Neodiprion lecontei: one gene and its partner. The protein of the gene in region 2 purifies or fractionates together with the protein of the main gene of each other region. This does not show direct contact. Links are inferred from orthologs where the notes say so. Each region holds a gene or a part of one and is shown on either strand. Other genes may lie near its edges.

What was found.
Region 1: the proteins of kinesin-like protein KIF13A (region 2) and disks large 1 tumor suppressor protein purify together in Drosophila melanogaster (affinity purification with western blotting; 3 studies listed by BioGRID). This does not show direct contact. The link is inferred for Neodiprion lecontei from reciprocal best matches to the Drosophila melanogaster genes Khc-73 and dlg1.

What each region holds. Positions count from the first base shown.
Region 1 is NC_060260.1:7,310,226-7,314,153, forward strand, and holds the start of disks large 1 tumor suppressor protein, read right to left. Parts: upstream 2,350-3,928; 5' UTR 2,335-2,349; coding exon 2,019-2,334; intron 1-2,018. UniProt on the Drosophila melanogaster protein: During embryonic development, some isoforms are essential for proper neuronal differentiation and organization. Required for cell polarity; maintenance of apicobasal polarity.
Region 2 is NC_060261.1:13,225,893-13,229,820, forward strand, and holds the start of kinesin-like protein KIF13A, read left to right. Parts: upstream 1-1,028; 5' UTR 1,029-1,255; coding exon 1,256-1,313; intron 1,314-3,928.

The DNA of each region.
Region 1 (3,928 bases), on a different chromosome or scaffold from region 2:
GACGCGTTCGCAGACATACCTTCAGATTTGAACGTCCGATGCAGCAACGTGACGAAGACATCGTCGCCTAGTTCTATTCGTGTCAGTTCAGTGTCAGGTAGAGCCTCCCTTTGCGATAGGTAGGAAGATCATAGACAAGCGCATACGCAAGTTATATGCAACCTAGTTGCTACAAGGTAGACAATGCGATCCGCCAAAACAAAGCCGACGCTGCATCTCACGCAGCCCTGCCTCTAGTCACGTTTGCGATAAACACGTTTCGTAGTTCGAGCCTATTAATTATCAAGCGAGAAATGAGTTGGAGGAGCGCATCGATTCAGCCACGGTTGTGATATTTACCTGTAATTTCGATGGATCAAGTTTGATCGAATATAACTCAAATCGTCGGTTCTTGGTGCCTGATGGCATATTTATTCATTATTAAAGCCCAGTACTCGCGATAATTTGAGACTTTAGTCAAGCTTGATTCGTCAAAATTGCCGATACATGTAATAACGATCAACGAGAAGAAAGCGATAACAAAATCTTTTCAATATACTCTCGAAACTATCGTAACGCAGTTTTGTAACTTAGTTGAAATTTTATTGTTTACGATCTACTCGTGAACTGATTACCTCGGAGGTGGAATGATCTGCAGAATTTTCTCACTTCAGATGGATAACTGCAATTGCCACTGAACACTTGACACACACTACCAATCTTATTTAATTACAATCACAGTAAGACTGTGAAACAATAAGTCCCTTCGACAAAAGATCACTGCAATTACTATTAATGAGTGGAAAAATTCTTCCGCGTCCGTTCGTCGCAGCTCGGTATTCGAGACTGAAACTCGAGTAGCGAAACTGGGCACGCTACATAATTGTTTACGTACGTGAGTCACCTTCGCGAACGAGTTCACCTAACGGCGTCCCGAAATACAAAACAAGACGAAATTTCCGACGTAGAATTGGCATACAGGTATCAGATGATTCGGTATTCATACATTCTAAATGAATTTAAGGGTGTATCTATTCCTACATGGAGAATAATTTTGTTCGCTTTAAATGCATGGATTTTTCAAGTACGACCCCGCATGTACACCCTTGAATTCCGAGGCAGCTGTGTAAAATACCACTTCCGAGTTTAAGAGCTGTGTATATATACGTTACCAGACTATAACAGAGATCCATTTTGTTTTGAATACATTTAAATTCATTTCGACACGCATTCTTTGCGCATCGGGTATAATTTATTCAAATTTAATTTGAATTTATTTTGGCTGTATAAAACGTAAAATTTGCATATCGTATCGATTAACATTTACAAGTCAAACTGAGGGATTTCATAAATTCAACGAACAGACAATGCGGAATGAGAAAGTTCCGTGTTGTTTACTGGGGTGGCCATTAACAGAATTTGAAAAAACTTCACCCTTGTCACATCTCAATTCGACTTGAAATAAATATGAGATGAAATCTTTAATTTCTCATTTCCTTCCCTGACTTGGAAAGAAACATTAACTTCAGCTACAGATCTGAGGATTGGCAAGGTGAAACATGCTTTGTGATCGAAAAAAATACTGCAACTGAAAAGCTTAATTCGCTAAATTTCTCATCCCGAGATGACAAACTTACGGTCAGACTGACAAGGAAGGTATCCCAGGTCGATCTCACCGATTTGATTTCTTTTTTAATAAATATGTTATAGTAGACTAAAAGCTAAGCGTATTTTTTGTATTTACCGTTAAACGCTTTAAAGGCTGTTTCACCCACAAGAACTCGCAACGAGAAATGAAAAATGTTATTTTCTCAATTACAAAATAAAAAAAAATAAAAAAACGAGCTAACAAATCGTCCTTGCGTGCCTTGCTTTGAAGGGTGGTTTCACCCCCTTAAGGCGTTTAATGGCATACGTGAAAGAAAAAAAAAAAAAAAAGAAAAGAAAAGTAGGCGTCGCTTAGTTTTTAGTCTACTTTCAGAGATCGACCTGGGATACTTTCCTCGCGGGAGGATTTCTGAAATCGAGAGTGGCGATACCTTCTTTCGGAGGGATATATCCGTGCACCTCGCAGTAACTGCCAGCAGGACCAGAGGCTCCGGGTGTGTCGAGGGTGAAGAGGGTGGTGGCGGAAGTGTTGAGGGTGTCGGAAGCCTGGTGAGTAGCCGAGTTCGGCTGGTGGATAGTGGACCTCGAATCCTGTACGCTGGTTTGGTGCTCCTGCTGGGCTGCCAAAATCTCTTCACGCCTGCACTTGGCGCATCTGCGCATCTCCGAGCGAACGCGAAGCAGCCAGACCATACCGAATAGAGCCATGTCAACCCGTGGAACGTTTTCCCCCGACGGAACCGTCATTCTCGCCGAAACGCAGTCATCGATTATATGCTCCACCGATATTCCGTGATACATCACCGGATAACGCACTATTCGACACTGTTTAACCACCGCACTGGAAGAGCGTCTTCAGGACTCGCTGCGACGAGTCAGCGACGATTCGGACCTTCCGCATCCTCGGTTTACCTTCATCTTCGCAGAGCCCTTTTCATTCGAGTCATTCTCGACTGGTATTCTGACTTTTCGTGTGTTCGTGGAAAGAATTCCGAACTCTCCAGACTGTTTGAGTATAATTTGGCAAGTTCTCATCTACGTCTGTTCGTCTCATCCACCGGAGGCTTCTGTTCTCGTATTACGGATCAACGAAATAGAAAATAAGCTGGGATTTACTCCCGCTGTAATTTATAATTGAAGAATCTTTTTCAGATACTTTGAGAGTACCAAAGAGCGCTAAGCGCTGATCAATTAACAATGCAAAGAATCTCGTCGCTTTCCCTGAGAATTTTTCAGCTGAACGATCGCCATTCAGGGTTGGGCAAATAATTTCACGTCGTATTCACGCAGCCTTTGTACAAGGAAAGGGGGAAAACATTTCAGCGACCAGGTGTCTGGAAGTAAAATCTGCGATGAAATTGTATCCCGCGAGGAACCATCTACCAGGGGTGAAAACCTCGCCCCGACACTCAGGGATTTTCCATAAATTGTACAAAACCGTAGAAACACAGCCCTCCTGATACCCACACGTGCGAGAGATAGACTCCTTTTAATCCCTCTCCCGTAATTCGCAGGACACGCAATTAAAACTTGGTCAATTCCACTGCCTAGGGTCGAATCTGGTACAACAAGTTACACAAATTCTCCCCCATTCTTGGAGCAACATTCACCTTCCGCCCTACTTCGTTCGAGTAAAGACTGCAGAACGGTGGAAAATCTTATTCATTTATTTATTTATTTCATGCAAGTAAAAGCGCGGTGAATAGAGAGAGAACGATTTTCAATGGTGATAACGCGGATATTCAGCCACGAGTATCCGGCATTTTACGCTTCTTCGATTCGTTCGTTATTTTTTGACGACTCGATCGTAAACGCGAAGTAGTTGATTGGCGTTCGAAACGACGATGAAGAAAAATGACATCGACGTCGAAATATTATGTTGCCGTTATAGAAAACGAAGAGAAAGTTTTATTATTTTTGTTTTTAGTGCTCGTAACAACATCATGAACGCGTTTATAACTTGGCTGCGGGTTATCCGGCGTGAATACAAATATATAAGTTCGGAGCCGTCCTGCCGGGTTGTGCGTTGGGCATGTCCTTGTAGACATGTGAAAAAATGGGGATGGAAAGGGCGGAGCGGTCGGCGACGTTCTGAGGAAGATTTATTTCTACGACTCCGATAAATTTATCCTCAAGGCGAGAGTAAGGAAGCGTGTTTTTGAACGAAAGGAACGTATAGCTGGTTCCTGGCGACGGTGAGGAAAATAGTGGACAAGAAAGGGAAACACTCGACGTATAGTGCAAGGTCCGTTCCATCGTCAGTCGAACCACCCCCGATACGTCGGCGTTATTTCGACTAACTTACGATCGGCCCTCGAGAGGATTTTCGCGGCGATTTCGC
Region 2 (3,928 bases):
ACGATACACTTTTACAATTAGAGGTTGAGTAGTATATGTTTTCTGTAGTAAAATTGGTGAAAAAACATTTGCCACTATTATTGAACACCTATATGTGAAAATTTCCAAGAAATTTACGAGACGAATGATTCAAATTTTGTTTTCAGCACTTTTAAATGATTCTAACACTTTCCAGATGTTTTAGAGCTCCGATCAAGATATTGAAGTTAAAAGTGAATGTCGATACAAAATTCCTAGAGAATCAATTGACAATTACACCGACAGATGCTGAGAACATTTCAAAAGTTTTGTTGCAAAAATTCAAGAAAGTTAGAAAAAGTTAGAAAAAGTTAGAAAAGGTACTGAACTCCTGAGAAATTACCTATTGTCCCGAAATCTTCGTGAAACTTCGTATGCCATTATCTGGAGCCTTTTTACAAAATGTTTATCAAAACTCTGTTGATGTTCGAATCGCGTAAAAGTCATCAAAGTATAATGAGAAATAGTCAGAATTTATGGAACTTGTTTAGCGCTTTTAAAATCTGCGAGAACTTCATCGGAAAACTCGAAAATATCAGTTGAAAATAATTCCGCGACGCATTACAATCTTCGATAAGAATCCCGGAAAGTTCCTTAATTAAAAAGTAAACCAAAGGGGATGAGGGAGTGAATTGCTATTCAATTTTACACGTCCAGAGTTCACTTCTCCTAGTGTAAATATTACGAAAAAATAGAAGTCTGACTGTTTTACGGCAAGATGCCTGTAGAATAGCCAAAATAATTGTTAGCTACCGCTGGCTACGGATGTAATCTTAAAATATTTAGATGTACCCATCATAGTGTAAGAAAAAGACTCAGTCGGTAAAGGAAGCATTTTTATATACTCTCGGAGCATGAATGATCCAATCTGATCTACAATCCCACAGAACCTGTAACAGAACTGACAGAACGTTCATTTCGTATTGCTCGACGTATATTGGTCACGAGCCTCGCGGGTGGGGGGTCGAACAGGCAGAGCCGCGGCCGACGAAAACCGAAACTCCGGGGGTGGCAAGCGAAGCAATATGGCGAGATGTGTCGTCGACGTAGGGACGGTGAGGTGTCTAAGTGAAAGAATGGTAAAGATGCAGAGAGAGTCGCGAAATGGGTTGATAATGATGTAGTGGATCGTCGAGAGTGCGGTGAACATTTAACAAGTGTAAATAGAATCAAATCCGTTCGTCCCGGTGTTCCGTGCCCTATAAAATAAAAAAAAAAAAAACGGTGCTGCTGAAACATGTCTTCTACGGATAAAATAAAGGTCGCCGTTCGGGTTCGCCCGTTCAATCGCCGAGGTTGGTAAAAAGATACAACAGAATTTGCAGCGACGTTCGTCCACAGATTTTGCAATTGCAGCGTCGGTAATCCGCGACGTTAAAGATCCATTAAAATCCACATTAACCTGCTGAATCAAATACTGGTTCGCTGTACAATCGGGCAGCGCGCGGCGGCGGCGGCGGCGACGGTTCTCCGCCAGCGCCGTAGATACTTTCCGAGAAGTATATCATTGATTTCGCATCCTAAACCGACGAAACTGGCATCGCCAGGAGATTGACAATTATTGTTTTCCACATAGCATAGCTGAGTTCTGAACTGAACATTTCCGTTCGATCTGTTGTGTGGAGCGAGAAATCCAGGCCTCGTAATTTCAACCTACAATATTTATTTTGCGCACACACAACTTGAACCTAACATTATCTATATCGGCGCTTCAAACTTCGTTCACTTGTGATTACAAATAACTGCAAACAGCCACAACCACATTCACTAATCGCTACCGCTTTCCCCTGTATCTTTATATCGGCCTCTGTACTTCAGGCAGAAGAGAAAAAACACCGATCTGACGCGTGGTGCTGGTTGAAAGCGTATTTTTTACGCACGCGAATCGCGTCGTAACGTTTCGATGAGTTATTATATTCATCCATGAGTCTACGGACGTCAGGCCTACTTTCTGTCACCCGCCTGGCTTTGTCCTTTTTTTTTGGTAATCTTCAACGAACATAGCTCTCGGTAGTAGGCAATTCTAGTCGATTTGTCTGTTTCATGCCGATCGGACTGCTCGAAACAATAGCGTAATGATTCGTGTTTTGAACAGTTCGAAATGCTTCAACAGTCCGGACAACTTCAGAGTGCTCTTCCAGCCCTCGAGCACAATGACAACGGTCATACTACAAAAATAATGATAAAAAACCGCCTTTAGAATAGACGTCTGCGAGCATTTCAATTCGAATTTATGATAGAAAGAGTTCAGCACAACGGAGCCATGTGCAACGTGAACAAATAAGCGAAAATAATTGAAAATCGCAATTGTATCAAACTTTTGAATTCTCAGTTATGTTAGGTAAACCATAAATTTGGTTCTGAATAAACCGAAATGAATCGTTTTCAATTCCTTAACTCTTACAAACTAATCTTAATGTTAAATATTCTAATTTCGGTTGTGTTTCGTTTGGTCAATGTCACAAACTTCAATTTACGAGAAGAGTATCACACCTCCAGGTCATGGATTCTGCTGAAACTTCTAAGGATGTTTTTCTGGCCTAAAAGATGTACTAATCTTCTTTTAAAATTTGGATCAGGTTTTTAAAAATTCACAGTTACTTCACTACGACTCTGACATAATATATTAGTTCGCACTTGATTTGTGGTGGAATACTATCGCTTTGAAGGTTCATGAAAGCGCAATGAAAATTAATATTTAAGACAACAACATATAACAAGTAAACTGCTGATATAATCGATTGTGACTAACGTGAAGAAGGGCCTATTAGACGAAAGTTCAAATCACAGGCTTCGTATTTTAGACCAAGGAAATGACCCTAGAAGTTTCAGCAGAATCAATCATCTAGAGGCTTTATCGAGAGCATTATACACTCCTTGTCAGCGTGTAAAATAAACATGAAATAGTCAAAAATGCGAATTTAACGATTCGCGGACTGTCTGAGGCCCCGTGGCTCGTCCGTCCGGCATAGATGGTGTATAATAAATACACCGCGACATCTGATTATCACTTCACCTGCCTTCCGAAGGCCACCGACCAAGCAACCGACGACACGTTGTTCCAGCCTTTACAATGAGTGATTCAATGTCGGCGCGGTAAACTGTTTACGTAAAAATAAATAAATTGCGCTAACCTGATGAATCGAAACTACCTGCCCTGCCTGTATAGCCGCTTTTGTATCCCCATATATACATACACACACACGGATACCCACATATCTACGTAACAACACAGTATATAAGCTCTGTACTCTGACCCTGTAACGCGATTTGTATATATCACAAGGTGTTTCAAAACAGATAACGTCAGATTCAAGTGCAGCAAGATTACTTTTTATTACAGTTATAGTATACAGTCTGAATTTATATGCAAGGGAAAAATGGTTGATCTTCTCAGTTTAAGAATTCAAAAAAGGTGGGCAGAAAATCGATTCTTTTTAATCACATTGTATACAGAGTCACAATAAAAATTTTCTTAATTGACCAAATTTGACGTTGGTTTTTGTCAAATTCGTGAAAATTAGATCACATAATCGACTGCATAATCTTCAGTTTTATCGAGTGATATTTTGTTATCTTGGGTAGCACCTGGTATCTGAGAAATTACAACTATAATTTTGGCGTTTATTTCCTTGATCATTCATGACTTTGAGAACCTGAAGTAGTTGTTCAGTGACTGATAATATTACCAGCGATAGATAAAGGTTATTTTGATATAAGACCTGAAGCGCAGGCTTTGCACCGAAATAAGGTTCTTTATCATCACGGCGGTTGATTTACGGAATACGTGCGTGGGTCCTGGTAAAAATCAACACAGCCTATTGGCCCAAAAGTAGTCCCGTCAAATCCGTAACGGGATTTACTTGTATAAACATTTTAAGAATGCCTGGTGCAAGAACTTTCTATCATG